Linked DNA regions of Schizosaccharomyces pombe. The protein of the gene in region 1 purifies or fractionates together with the protein of each later gene. This does not show direct contact. Each region holds a gene or a part of one and is shown in the gene's direction. Other genes may lie near its edges.

Region 1 (3,829 bases):
TAGTTGGTACTTCTCATATCCGCCTCGCGTGGGGTCATAATACGCTTCCTGTATCTGCCTTGTCTCAATCTCAATCCCAAGTTTCAGATGAGGGCTTCGACAGAACTCTTTCCGCTAACCAAATTTTCGGTATGAATCAATCTGTCATTGGAGCAAACTCTGGCAGCTCAAACTCATCCGGCTCTAGCTTGAAGAGTGCACCTGTTTCACCTCGTACTGCTGCTGCGCAATCTTTGTTGCCAAACTCCGTTGTTTCCTCAATCAATGGCATGAACTCCGTAAATTTTTCAACCATTTCTCCACCTCCTTTGTCTCGTTCAGCCTCCATTTCTCCTACGTTGTCCGGTAGTGGCTCAGGTTTGACACCTCTTTCTTCCCATTTCCCTTCAGCTGCCACTGGCTTGGTAGGCGGACAGGTGTATCCTCAGTCTTCTGTTTTGCAATCCTCAAAAATTAATGGTTCTGCAAAGGTCCAGCCTAGTGTGAAGCTCCCCGAATGGTTGCAGCCTTTTTCCGGCAACAATCATAACTCCTTTGCTACTCAAGATTTATTAACACGTGTTTCCTCCTTAAAGTTGGTTGATGATGAGCAACCTGCTTCTTTGAATGGTTCAGCATTTCAAGCGAGAGCTTCTAGGCCTTGGAACCTAGGAAGGGAGCGTCAGTCTTCACTAATTGATCTCCGTCATGAGTTGGAGCAAAATGAAAACGGTTTGGAGAAATCCGGCTTTGGTTTGAACTTGAGAGGTCGCTTGCCTCCTCGTTCTTATTCTACATTTAATTGTACTGGTCAATACTTGCAACCTTCTCTACGCTTGTCACGCGATTCATAAATTATTTTTATGATGTTTGAAATGCATTACTACTACTACTATTTGTTTCTTCCACTTCTCTTCTTAAGTGAAGGGATTTCCCGAATATTCTTGTTTTATTTCTAATGTTTTTGTTTTAATTTTTTATTTATTTTCGTTTTTCAAAGGCATCCGTATAAGTTTTCGAGGGCTCCTGATCAAGTTAGTTTAATGTCTTAAAGAACTGAAGGGTGCTCTCGTGATTTTTTTTATTTTGTTTTGTTTTTATTCTTGTATGTTAAATCTCTCTTGTGATGTTTTTTATAACTGTTGAATATTATTTGTGCCAAGGATTGTTTTATTTATGATTGTTTTATTTTTCTTTCATTGCTGTTGTTCCTTAATGCACATATGTACATGAAAACTTCCATTGAGGTTTTTCAAACGTCCAAATCTTTTTTTTGGATCGATGAGTTATTTATATGTTTTATTTTAAAATGTCCTTTCCAAAAAATAATTTTGTTATTTTTTCTTCTGATTTTCTAAATAATTAAAAGCATTGTTTTTGTTTTCAACTTATATAATGGAAATTTTCCAGTGACTGTAGTAGATATTGGTAGCTTGTCGATTGTAGCTTTTCAATTAAAAGTTTTAAATCTGAAACTTGAATTTCAAACACATTTCTCTAAAATTAGTCGAAAAAAATGTAAGTCAATTGAACAAATACTTTTCTGATGCTTTGCATTATCCGATGCACCTCTTCAGTATGTGCCATAATATTAAATGCCCAAGTAAAGACATTTATGTTTATCCCTTTCTAATTTTCACAGAACATAAAAACATCATTTTAATTAAGACTTTATATGATTTTTTTTTTACAAAAATAGCTATTCAATATGAAAGATTGGTAGAAATATGTTTGCCTAGAAAGTAGCACCCATTTACCAACATGCGACGATACTTAAAAAAGGCGAAGCCTAAAATCGTGCAAACGAGCGACAATGAGGAAGAAAAGCATGAAGAAAATTTAAACGTTTCTCAATCAAGTAAGAACTTAAAAGCGCAAAAGTGCTTGGGCTCGAATAGAACTTATTATCGCAAGTGTACTAACAATGCTTAGACAAAAATGCAAATAGAAGAAAAACAAAAGCGAAAGAAAAAAATTCGGGAAAATTTAGGGTGAAATATGAGAACGAGGTAAGTTGTTTTTTGCTGGAAAACGTTTTACCAATTCATCTGTTATATTAACAAACATTGATTAGGAAGGAGACGACGATGGGGAGGATTCTCAAATCCCTTTGATTCCAAAGGTAAAAAAGCAAAGCTCTTTTCATTCGGTTGATGATTTGTAAGTAAAATGTTTTAAGTCCAAGTATTAGTTATCTAATTAATAAAGAATATCGCGAAGAATGGATGCTCTCTCGCATGAAAGTGGATACTCCAATGCTTATGTGGATGAGTTAAAGAGAAAAAGTAGGCAGACACCATCAGAATTTACAAAGAAGGAGGAGGATTCCTCGACCAAAGAAAGCGAATTGCAAACAAGATCGTCACCTCCTTTACCCGTTAATACTAGTTTGGAATGGAATATGCTTAATCAAGGCATTCCTGAGGAAGCAATGATTAAGGAGTTAAAGGATCGAGAAGGAAGAAAGAGAAACATTGCCATGATGACGGATAATTACATTTCACTTGAAACAGGGGACCAACTGATGTTGGCACAAAATCATAAAGAAGAGAAATTGCTTCAAACGGAAGACGAAATTCAAGATGAAGGTTACTCTGGATTTGAAAATTACGTGGAGGAGTCAGAAAAACTTCAAGAAATATACCACCATAGCTCGGAAAGTTTACGGACACGATCAATTCAAATGGCCGTCGACCAGAAAAATATGGAGATGGAATTGGACGATGAAGACATAGCAGAGCCCATCCAATCATGGGAACATACTCAAATCAAGAAAGGTGCCTTTGGAGAATCTCCTGCTTTTACAAATGGACTTTCTGTGAAGCTTCCTAATATTCTTACAATGGATGAACAAATTCAGCGGCTAAAAGAAGCAATAGCTTCTGAGAAGCTTCAGCAGGAGGAGCGTTCACAGATTATTAAATCACTTATGGAAGAAGAACTCGAGATTAATGAACAAGAGGAAAAGATTAAACATTCTTTCATTGATTTAGATAAAACTTTGTTGAACAACCTTACCAAAAGCAAATCCTGATTTACTTTGGATTTTTTAATTGATAAAAAAAAAACAAAGAAGAAAGACATGGTCGATAAATTTACTTAACGCTATAACTTAGATTTACATTTCTTACAGAACTCTTATCCTTGTACAGTATTAATTAGCTGTTACAGCCCATCGGTGACTTGTTGAAATAGAAAAACAGTGCCAAGAAGTCACCGGGAATTACAAAAAAATAATGACCCGATATTTATGGAGATAATAGATATTAATTGCTAGAAGATTTCATTAGCTTTATCACATATTAAAGTTATAGCCTCTGAGTATTCAAAACTTTAGTAAGTAGCATTGTCACTTACAATGGATTTTGTGTGTTGAAGAGAATACATTTTACCTACTGCCAAAAAGTGGGTTTACAATAAGACTTGTCATTTTATCGTCTCAATGGCTCTGAAAAGAAGCTATTATGCGTCAAAAGATGATTATTCGACGAAAAGAATCCTCGAAATTATCGAAAGGCCATTGAAGAAGCTTACAATAGAGGATACTTCAGAATATGATGGTATGTATACTATCGATTAACCTTTTGAATAAATTTAAAAGGGAAAGCGAATTCTCTTACAATATCCTTTATTCCATGTCAATATATTAACAGTCGGTGCAGATTCTGATATTGAAATGCCAACCTGCAAGCGTGTAGCTTACTACAAAAATGAGTACACAATTGTTGTAGAAGACTTGGATGCTGAACTGGAAGAAGATGACAGCATAAATAAGCCTACAGAAGAGGCTGACGAAGCTCCACGGACACAACTTTCTGTGATCTCTCCTTTGGAAAAGAAATTGAAACGG
Region 2 (3,331 bases), on another chromosome or scaffold:
TAATTTAAAAATTTTGTATATCTATTAATATTCATACATGGCTAACTTTGGTTCTATTGTAGCACACAACTTTGACTTTTATCAAGTTAAGCAGCAGAATAATTTGGATTTCTATGCTTGCATTAAATTGGTAAATTACATTCGGTCTCAAGTCAAGGAAGGAAAAACACCAGATTTGGACAAACTTTCCGACATTTTACGGTCCGACGAATACATGATTTCTGTACTCCCTGACGACAGTGTACTCTTCTCGCTTGGCGATGAACTCGATTCAGATTTTGAGGACGACAATACTCTCGAAATTGAAGTAGAGAATCCAGCAGATGTTTCTAAAGATGCAGAAATAAAGAAATTAAAGTTACAAAATCAACTTCTTATCTCTCAGCTTGAAGAAATTCGAAAAGATAAAATGAATGAATTGACTAGTCAGACTACAGATCAGCTATCAGTTACCCCAAAGAAAGCAGATAACGATTCTTATTATTTCGAGTCTTACGCTGGAAATGATATTCATTTCCTTATGCTAAACGATTCTGTCCGGACCGAGGGATACCGTGACTTCGTTTATCATAATAAGCATATTTTTGCTGGAAAAACGGTTTTGGATGTAGGATGCGGTACTGGCATTTTATCCATGTTTTGCGCAAAGGCTGGCGCCAAGAAGGTTTATGCTGTGGACAACTCCGATATCATTCAAATGGCTATCTCAAATGCTTTTGAAAATGGTCTTGCTGATCAAATTACTTTTATTCGTGGAAAAATCGAAGATATCAGTTTACCGGTTGGCAAGGTAGATATCATTATTTCGGAATGGATGGGCTATGCTCTAACGTTTGAGAGTATGATTGATTCCGTCCTTGTTGCCAGAGATCGCTTCCTTGCACCTTCTGGAATTATGGCACCGTCCGAGACACGATTGGTACTTACAGCTACCACAAACACTGAATTGTTAGAAGAACCTATTGATTTCTGGAGCGATGTGTATGGTTTCAAAATGAATGGCATGAAGGATGCTTCTTATAAAGGTGTTAGTGTACAAGTCGTTCCTCAAACTTATGTTAACGCCAAGCCTGTTGTTTTTGCAAGGTTTAATATGCATACGTGCAAAGTTCAAGATGTCAGTTTTACTTCCCCCTTCTCTCTAATTATAGACAACGAAGGACCGCTTTGTGCTTTCACTTTATGGTTTGATACGTATTTTACGACTAAGAGAACACAGCCTATTCCAGAAGCTATTGATGAAGCTTGTGGATTTACAACAGGCCCTCAAGGCACTCCTACTCATTGGAAACAATGCGTTTTGTTACTACGTAATCGTCCTTTCCTTCAAAAAGGCACTCGTGTTGAAGGAACTATTTCCTTTTCAAAAAATAAAAAAAACAATCGTGATTTGGACATTTCGGTTCACTGGAATGTAAATGGGAAAGCTGACTCTCAAAGCTACGTGTTGAATTAGGATCAAAGTCTTTACTTAAAAATATAGAATTACTGATTAATGTTACTATGCTGTAGGTTTTTGGATTAGGAATCTTGCTGGGGTTTTAAGGCATTTCCTGTAAAATTATTTCCCCAGAGTGGGAATACGGTGGATCGAAAAAATCATCTAGTCTTAAAATATTCTCTATTTTCTATACTACTAAAAAATAACATTTTTTCAATCTTTTAAATATGGAAATTTGAGTACATAAGGATTAAACTATCAACAACTGCACAATGCTTGGGAAAGATTTTTAACGTGAACTATTATTATCGTTGATTTTTTGTTACGATTTGATTATATTTAAGGGATCTCTAAAAATAATTGTGACTTGAATCATAATTCAGATGACTAGCGTTCAATGGTCGTAGAATTGCAAATAAACATATTTCGTTCCGGAAAATTAAATATGGATATTTATAGCCTTAAAAGATAAATTAAAAATGTAAAAGCTTTAGCATTTTAATGTAATTAAGACGAGCCTTTTCAACAATCCATTCAATAAGTTAACTCATAGCGATTGTTAGCGCGCAGTGTTTGCAGGTAAAAATATAAGGTAAAGAGTTCAGCATTTGCAAAACACCAAACTAGGGCGAAAATGAATCAAAATACACTTTATGTGAATAATTTGAATGATAAAATTAATAAAAATGATTTAAGAACAGCACTATATATGCTATTCTCCACTTATGGGACCGTGGTTGATATTGTCGCGTTGAAAACTCCCAAGATGAGAGGTCAAGCTCATGTTGTATTCTTTGATCCCTCTGCCGCTGCAATTGCGATGAAGGCCTTAAAAAATTTCATATTCTTCGGAAAGGAAATGGTATGCTGTGAAATGAGCTTTCTCATTAATCCCCATAAAAAAACAAAAACGATTGACTAACATCTTTAATAAGAAAATTCAATACGCTCATTCGAAAAGTAAGATTATTGAAAGAATCGTCGCCGAAAATGACAGCAGAGGTCCTTTAAAACGGCTACGTGATGAAGCTGACCTTGAGTAAACTGTACATTTTCTAAAATTCACAATTATCGTTTTATATAGGGTAACTTTTTTCGGGATCCTGTTGGAGTCAAGAGAGTTATAAAGAGTGGTTTTCCTTTTTCTCTCTTTTTGTTCTTCACTGTATATACCTGTTGGTTTTAGTTGTTTCAGGTGTCAGTGTTTGCAGACAGTAAAGCGGACCGATAACACCATCGCATTGTTGCTAAGTTTTATAAGATGAAGCAAAATTCTAGTCCAATATCATCTTGTTTACAGCTATTTTAGTGGATTTTTCATGCAAGTCTTTCTCAACTAGCATTGCGCAAGGCACTGAACTTTAACGCATTTGATGGAATTGTTCACCTGGCTTCAACATCGCTCGTCGTCTTTCTTACAATGGGAAAGGATGTAGCATTGGATTTTCTTCCATCAAGCTTGTATAGCTGTACTTGTTCTTGCGATGGAAAATTGGCTTTTTGCGATTCAGAAAAAGTCCAAATCTTGGTACATATCTCAAATTGACGTGTTCGAGACTAGCTAATTCCCTTCAGGTACCTTCAACTGAAGCCAATACGCCTAAGTTTATGAAGGCGCTAGCCTATTTAGATGATGTGGAAGATGAACTACCAAATTGCCAAATGCTTGCTCGTATGTTCCCAATGCCCTTTGATGCTTATGAGAGTATAAAAGCTAACGTGTTTTACAGCTAATGAGCTTCGTTTAGGAGATCTAACTCCAAGTGTCATAAGCCGCTATGTGGTCTGGTCGCCAACAGGTCTCGCAGACAATTACGAGTATGTTCTTAAAAAGAGAAGACTTGAGTTTGACTTTACTTAACATTCCACTCGGTTTGTGTTTTTGTGCGT
Region 3 (2,902 bases), 700 kb from region 1:
AGTGTTAATCAAATTGCAATTGTATATACGAAAAATATAAGCATAAAGGTGAGGCTCTGGAGAAACAAAAAGCTATTGTGACATTTTTTTGGAATACAAATAATTTTGAAAGTTTTTGGGAATTTCGCAAGGATTTCGAACCCTTATATAAGAATCGAATTACAGTCATTTAACTATTGATCATTTGGTACTTTTTTACTCTTTGGTTTTATTTAAATCTTTCAAAAGGATGACGGGCGCAACGTTAACTGTTCGAGTAATTCGCAACTTTGAATATCGGACACTGAAAAACGTCGTTTTCCACGACATAGATCTGGCCACTACGACTGTAGACCAGTTCAAAAAAATCATCGATGAACGCATACAAACGGATCCCTCATTGAAAATCTACCGTACTACCCATTTTGACACGTTGAAGATTTATGTGAAAGCCCAGCAGCACAAAACCCAAAACTTGGCTATTAATTTAGACCACGATGATTGGATTCTTAATGATGGAGCCAAAACATTGTCTCTTTGTGGAATTGAAAATGAAACTGAGTTGTCCTACTTTGAACTTGCTGCCTACAAGGCCTATCAAGCAAATCCTGTACAAAAATGGCTTTAGACATGCATAACTTTATTAAGAGTTCAATTGTTGGTGTTAGGAATAGGAGATGAGTTTACCTTTGTTATTTAAATTGAATATTTTTCAAACTACGCTAAAAAATTCCTGATGTCTTTATTAGTGCAACTATTTAAAATTACCTAGGTCGCTGTTGCAATTCATGTATTGACAATAGCAGAATGCATTGTAGTGAGCAAAAGTATGTAGAATAATAAATGATACAAAACAATACGCATTTTAAACCAAATGTTGTAAACATCGACTTTATGACTTGGTACCAATAGCACCAAGGACGTCCCTATCTACATATTTATATAAGAACAAAACATTTCTCATTCATCAAAACGCTACACCAATACTTAATAAAAAGTTATTTTAAAAACAAGCAAAAAAAGAGTTGCGCGGCCAGGTTTCGATCCTGGGACCTACGGGTTATGAGCCCGTCGGAGTTCCACTCTCCTACCGCGCACAAATACCGTCACCAGCAGGATTTGAACCTGCGCGGGCAAAGCCCATTAGATGACTAGAATACAGGATTCAAGTCTAACTCCTTAACCACTCGGACATAGTGACTTTAGCTGTACATTTATCATGAAATGTAATTTATATAGCCAAAATCAAAAATTTCTATGTAATTTTTGATAGGAAGTTTCCAATGCTCAAATGGTTGATTTCACAAAAGCATTGCTTTATGTTAAGAAAATATTGTTTTTGGTGTTAGAATATATTTTTTTTATTATCAAAGTAAACTCCTAAAACTACAAGCTTGTCTATTCAGCTTAATTTCCATAAGTAGCTAGTGTTCATCCTTCAATTCAATGACTTTGCATTTGAAAGGATAGTTAGTTTATGAGACCTTAGGGATTTTGTGATTAAGTAGTCCAATTATACTTCTAATGTTATAATCAATAAACAATTACAATGCATTCAGTTTTTTATATCCCACATTGAAAGTTGTCAGGTATGAGTTAAAGTGTGTGATTAAAAGATTTTTTTTAATTAATAATAAGATATAGTAAAATATTGAACCGAAATTGATTTTCAACATTTCGCTTCTAACTTGAAATCCATTTTGTGCAATCTTGAACTTGCTCGTTAAATAGCACTTGTCCTTGACCCCCAAGAGACTTAAAATTCTACCATTTTTGATATTCCTAGCTTGTATCGTTCTAATGGCGTATGTCTTTTGTCCTTTTATCTAAAATTTTTTGATTTCTTTTTTCTAATAATTTAGCGATTTGGTTGATAAACCTAGAAGTGAACTGAGCGAAATAGAACTCGCTCGTCTAGAAGAATATGAATTCTCTGCTGGTCCATTAAGTGTTTTACAACAAGGTATACTATATGATAGAATGTCAATTTTAAATTTACATACTAATGGCTCTTCTGTTTTAGCGGTAAAAAATCATGATCAAGTTCTTATTAATTGTCGAAACAATAAAAAGTTGCTTGCTAGAGTAAAGGCATTTGATCGCCATTCCAACATGGTATTAGAAAATGTCAAAGAGGTAATAATTTTTTTCATCTTTTAGTCTCTCTTTCCATCCACACTTGCTAATATATTCTTAGATGTGGACCGAAAAAAAACGAACAGCTTCTGGCAAAAAAGGAAAGGCTATCAACAAAGATAGATTTATTAGCAAAATGTTTCTTCGTGGTGATGGTGTCGTTCTTGTTGTCCGTATTCCCTCTGCATAATATACCCCATTTTCCTACCTAATGGATACTTAAGTTAGAAACGACTTCAAAATATCCCGATGTGCTTACAAAAAACTATTTTATACGTGTGTTAACTTTATTATTAATTAAAGATATCTTTATTTGAAAATAAAAAAGGCTCCATCTGTAGTGTCTCTCTAGTTGTGCCTTGAATGTCTTTCGTAAAAAAAAGCGAATGAATTGCAGAAAGCTTTCAGATGTAGCACCCATCTTTCCTAAGAGATTTATTATATAAAAAAAAGAATGGTTATGACACAAAAATCATATTATTTTCATTACAAATATACAATGCTAGCATATTCATTACTGTGTAAGTGCATCATGGACTCCATGCTTCAATACATCCTCAATCTTCCAACGAGGAGGTTTAAACCAACCTTGATTTTTCTTCATCTTTTCAACGTTAGTCTTACCCACATCTTCACCAGCTGCACCGGTGGAAAATTTCAACTGAAGCTTCTCACCAACTTCATCACAAGCTCTCAAAAAATAATCCATGTCGGCTTTATTGTGACTAGCGGAGAAACAAAACCTCACTCTAGAGGTCAACAAAGGACAGGCAGGATACCCAACAAC
Region 4 (4,187 bases), on another chromosome or scaffold:
AGCAATGCAGTTTACTAAAGGCAAAAAATCATTCGGCATCCTAGCAATCAAAACAACCCAAGCTTCACCAGCCTCGGCAAAAAGCCTTCCTAGTGCACGAAAAGTTTCTGGGTCATCACAGGCCGCAATAAGTTTAGGCTGAAGTTCAAGTAAACGTGGATAGAGCATCAGTATGGCATCAGTAGTTTCATCAACATCTTTAGTCTCATTAAAAAGGGCACATAGAAATTCTACAGCATCTTCTAACAGTAAGTCATCATCCAGAGAACGGAAAGCAAGTTCAATTAAGGGAGAAGCCATAACTTTATCAAGGGGAATTTCTCTCAACCAGGAAATCAAACTCGTAAGAACAAGACCAAGGTCAGCGCTCGAAGGAGATCCTGAAGCACGGACAGCATCGACATATTGCACCAGAAGCTCGAGTACTGCTGGACCGTTATCACGAAGAAGTTCATCAACACGAATACATAACTCCTCCCAACTCAATGAAGTTTTCCTTGGATCACTAGCTTCTTCAGGGAGTACTGATAAAAACTGTAAAACACATCTTCCACTGGGGTCTTTGGAGCTACAGGCTTGAAAAACATCGGCTATAACATTATGCCATTCAGTCATATGTAAAGCAATTGCAGCCATACAAACAGCCAATGATACCAATAAAGGTCTTGGACTATCTTTAGCTGCTAAAAATAACTGTAGCAAGGAATTACGAAATTCAATATGTGTTTCCTTAGGTAGCTGATGAAAATCGTATACAATTTTTTGGCGCAAAGTTTGTGCGGCAAATAACTTTGCTTCAATGCTGCTGTCATCTTGATTCAAAATTGAAAAACATATTTGCCATGCAGCAGGCTAAAAATATGCAGGTTAACATCATCCAGTTCAAATCTCTGACTGACTTACACTTTTCTGAAACTCTTCTAAGTAGTTGTTTGCTTGAAGTTTCTGCTCACGATCAGTGTTGGCATACAAAGTAGCCAAAGCACTTAACAACGTTTCCATGAGGGCATAAAAATCACTTAGATTGATTGCTTTACGCACTGGCAGCGTGTGTTTTTGTTTCGGTTCAGACCTGTAGTAGCAGTAAAAGACCTATTTAAGGAACAAGTAACTTATACCTCTTTATTACAGTATTCGGGAGGTTTTCCATGATCATTATAATAAATAGCATTCAAGGCATTATGTCTCAGTATAACGTTGATTTTTAATTTTAATACATTTGGTAGAGTAAAAACTTCAAATGTTAGAAAATAAAATTTGCTTAGGTATTCCAATTGCTATTTACATAGCTACCATAATAATATAATTCTAGCCACATAAAGTAGTTTCGCGTGCTATATTTTATATATCCGAAATACAATGTAAAGCGCATAGTAGTCTGTTTCCTAATAATACTGGCAAACATATGGATTATATAATATCTAATGTATGAAACATCCGTTTGATGCAGCTGGTAGAACCTAATTTAGAGCTGTTCAAGGATTCTGATTTCCAAATATTTATCAGATTTTGGCTATTTTCATTACAGTCTTCTTCATTTCTATTGTCAAATCTTTTTGAATCTATGGATATTAATCGTCTAAATTAATGTAATTTTTGCTGAACTTTGATAACTTGTTTATTGTTTTTTTTTAATGTCATTTTTTACTGAGTAGCTACTCACGCTAAAGTACATTTCTTGCTTTTCTCAATCATTTAAACAAGTGAATTGTCCATAAATTGTCTAATAAAAATAACAATACAATCTTGGCTGCTTTGATTGAAGTTTAGCAACCTACACTTTTGTATGTATGAAAGTCGATAAAAAATTAAAACAGCTTATTGAAGATCAAATTACATATCTAAAAAAAATAAAAAAAAAATAAAGGATCGATAAACATTGATCCATGTGGTACAAATTTATTGAAGAGGTTTTTGGTCTTGGCTAAATATCCACTAAGTCAGTGCTGACAGGCCGCCAACTGCACCATTGCACAACCATCTATAGAATTTCGTTTTTTGATAAAATAAGTTTTCAAGATGTCAGGACGCGTGCAAAAAGTTATGATACCTCCTATTGTATGGTTAATTGTTGTTGGATAGCTAACTTACGCAGAATTTCATTTTCAAATTGTTGCAACAACATACTCCTGTTTCAATTTGGCTGTTTGAACAAACAGATATAAGACTTCAGGGACAAATTAGGGTAAGAAATTTACTTTATGGAAAATCCCTTCATAGTCGTTGGCCTAGGATTTTGAAATACCTTCATTTTCCCTACGACAAGTTGATGAATTGCTAACGATATATGACAGGGCTTCGACGAATTTATGAACATTGTGCTTGACGATGCTGTGCAAGTAGATGCTAAAAATAATAAAAGGGAGTTAGGTAAGCCTGATTTTAGACGAATAAAACCTTGGTTTATGTGAAAGAATGTTCGGTGGGATTTTATTCAAAAGTCTTTACATGAAGCAAAAATAATAATAGATGCATGTCTTAAGCTGATTTACCAAATTGCGTTTCCAGCAACCTTACAAATTCTAAAACAAACCGTTGATGCAGATTTTTGTTCTAAAATATTTAACAATTTCCCAAACCAATTGCTAACATTGCTTAGGTAGAATTCTATTAAAAGGTGATAATATTACACTAATTCAAGCAATCTAATTTTTTTCCTTTTTGCTGGATTTCTTTTGCTTTTTCTTCTTAGGTTTTTCTTCCTCATCCTTCTTTTCCCTTTTTCCCTTTTTCAATTCCTTTTGCTTTTCCTTCCCTTTATTTTGTAATTCCTCTACTGTAGCATCACCAGTCTCTTGTAAAATATGTTCTTTGATGCCAGACTTGGGTTCAGCTTCAGGTTCCGATTCAGGCCCTACAGCATCTCCAATCGGGCGAAAATGCTGTCTCAGATTCTTTCTTTGAGGAACAAGTGGTGCCTGCGTAGGTATTGTAATACCAGTATCAATGTTTTGTGAAATTTTGGGGGTCTCTGTAATCACATATCCAGTTTTGATTTCATTTGACGTATAGGAACCTTGCTCGTCAGGTAAAAACACACGTACGGAGCTTGTTGATTCTTCTCGGATTTGATAGGTGTTTTCGTTCTCCTGCTTTAATTCTACTGTAGGTTTGGAGCCTACCTTTAGCTGACTTATTTGGTCAGCGGACATGCCAGGCGGAAGTCGTACTAAAAAAACATTGGACTCCTTTTTCAAGTCATTAGTGGTCAAAACAGGCTTTCCTTGCACTTTCTCTAAACCAGCAATTTCTGCAACATCTTCTTGTGCGTTCGATTCGCCGTGATTGTTGCTCTCCACGGATTGTTCAGGTTCTTTCGACGAATGCTGATCCTCTATGCTAGAAACGCTAGATTCATCTTCTGAACTTTCCTCGTTTACAAATTCACTTGATTTTGCCATATCTACGCCCCAGTAGAATTTAAAGTGAAATTTTGCAAGCGTACCTGTATTTTGCTCTGGTGAGCTTGTGGGTCACAACGTAGGTATCATCGAGCTGGATAACGATGCACAAGGTAGTATTCATATTAAAGGAACTTTTATGTGATGAAACAAAAAATAAAAAGTATGTGGTTATAGCAAGAACTCTACTTCTTAGGTAAAGAAAAAAGTTAAAATGGAGCAATCGGTTCACTACTTTATTTTTTCGGCTTAAAAAATGTTGTTTTTCTAGAAATTAATATTCCCAACATCTTTCTTTATCTAGTAGATAGGGATTTTTTTTTTTTTTTTTTAAGTTGTCTGACAATTGCTTCTGTAAGGATCGGACTACTAAGAACGGTCGCAGCTTGACGCGACCAGTTGCTTAAAGGATGTAGTATTATTTTGTGTTTATGTAAAATGGATATCAATTGTAGGAAGAAGTGAGGTACACATAACTAAAGAACGACGTATATATATGTTGTATACAGAGTGTAAACACAATGAGTCAAAATTTAAAACTGAAAAAAAAATACATATCTGCAAACATTTCCTCTTCAATGCCTCATGTATGTGGAAATTGAACAATTATCAACCTCGGCCAGCATAGGCATTGTAGATGCCTCACTCTTACAAATAAAAAGGCAAGAGAAAGATAAATGCTTTTTGGAGAGAAAGAACGTGAGGAAGAAATCAACCAACACCTTTTCATCACAGATACCTTCTAGCAATTGAACGGACCTTTAAATCAAAAGCCTGAGAACGAAT

The links.
Region 2: the proteins of ntr2 (region 1) and msl1 purify together in Schizosaccharomyces pombe (affinity purification with mass spectrometry, with the first as the bait; one large-scale study listed by BioGRID). This does not show direct contact.
Region 3: the proteins of ntr2 (region 1) and smd2 purify together in Schizosaccharomyces pombe (affinity purification with mass spectrometry, with the first as the bait; one large-scale study listed by BioGRID). This does not show direct contact.
Region 4: the proteins of ntr2 (region 1) and sme1 purify together in Schizosaccharomyces pombe (affinity purification with mass spectrometry, with the first as the bait; one large-scale study listed by BioGRID). This does not show direct contact.

The regions. Positions count from the first base shown.
Region 1 is NC_003424.3:3,567,451-3,571,279, reverse strand, and holds ntr2 (spliceosome complex disassembly protein Ntr2), read left to right. Parts: upstream 1-1,734; 5' UTR 1,735-1,740; coding exon 1,741-1,837; exon of another isoform or gene 1,838-1,911; coding exon 1,912-1,988; exon of another isoform or gene 1,989-2,053; coding exon 2,054-2,139; exon of another isoform or gene 2,140-2,187; coding exon 2,188-3,013; 3' UTR 3,014-3,298; downstream 3,299-3,829. Other genes in the region: RNA-binding protein Csx1, read left to right, coding at 1-833; SPOM_SPAC17A2.07C (uncharacterized protein), read left to right, coding at 3,422-3,539, 3,642-3,829.
Region 2 is NC_003423.3:1,374,466-1,377,796, reverse strand, and holds msl1 (U2 snRNP-associated protein Msl1), read left to right. Parts: upstream 1-2,044; 5' UTR 2,045-2,075; coding exon 2,076-2,303; exon of another isoform or gene 2,304-2,376; coding exon 2,377-2,484; 3' UTR 2,485-2,808; downstream 2,809-3,331. Other genes in the region: ribosomal protein arginine N-methyltransferase Rmt3, read left to right, coding at 63-1,456; transcription factor TFIIIC complex subunit Sfc9, read left to right, coding at 2,862-2,969, 3,017-3,113, 3,172-3,259. UniProt on the Schizosaccharomyces pombe protein: Involved in pre-mRNA splicing. This protein is associated with snRNP U2. It binds stem loop IV of U2 snRNA.
Region 3 is NC_003424.3:4,263,427-4,266,328, reverse strand, and holds smd2 (Sm snRNP core protein Smd2), read left to right. Parts: upstream 1-1,737; 5' UTR 1,738-1,779; coding exon 1,780-1,784; exon of another isoform or gene 1,785-1,841; coding exon 1,842-1,942; exon of another isoform or gene 1,943-1,969; intron 1,970-2,002; coding exon 2,003-2,115; intron 2,116-2,176; coding exon 2,177-2,305; 3' UTR 2,306-2,376; downstream 2,377-2,902. Other genes in the region: protein aim29, read left to right, coding at 230-607; serine palmitoyltransferase Lcb2, read right to left, coding at 2,630-2,902. UniProt on the Schizosaccharomyces pombe protein: Plays a role in pre-mRNA splicing as a core component of the spliceosomal U1, U2, U4 and U5 small nuclear ribonucleoproteins (snRNPs), the building blocks of the spliceosome.
Region 4 is NC_003423.3:1,762,966-1,767,152, reverse strand, and holds sme1 (Sm snRNP core protein Sme1), read left to right. Parts: upstream 1-1,956; 5' UTR 1,957-2,019; coding exon 2,020-2,058; intron 2,059-2,095; coding exon 2,096-2,185; intron 2,186-2,294; coding exon 2,295-2,370; intron 2,371-2,532; exon of another isoform or gene 2,533-2,599; coding exon 2,600-2,649; coding exon of another isoform or gene 2,650-3,401; 3' UTR 3,402-3,687; downstream 3,688-4,187. Other genes in the region: karyopherin Mtr10, read right to left, coding at 1-852, 904-1,002; DNA-directed RNA polymerase I complex subunit Rpa34, read right to left, coding at 2,646-3,401; TRAPP complex subunit Trs20, read right to left, coding at 4,131-4,187. UniProt on the Schizosaccharomyces pombe protein: Involved in pre-mRNA splicing. Binds and is required for the stability of snRNA U1, U2, U4 and U5 which contain a highly conserved structural motif called the Sm binding site. Involved in cap modification.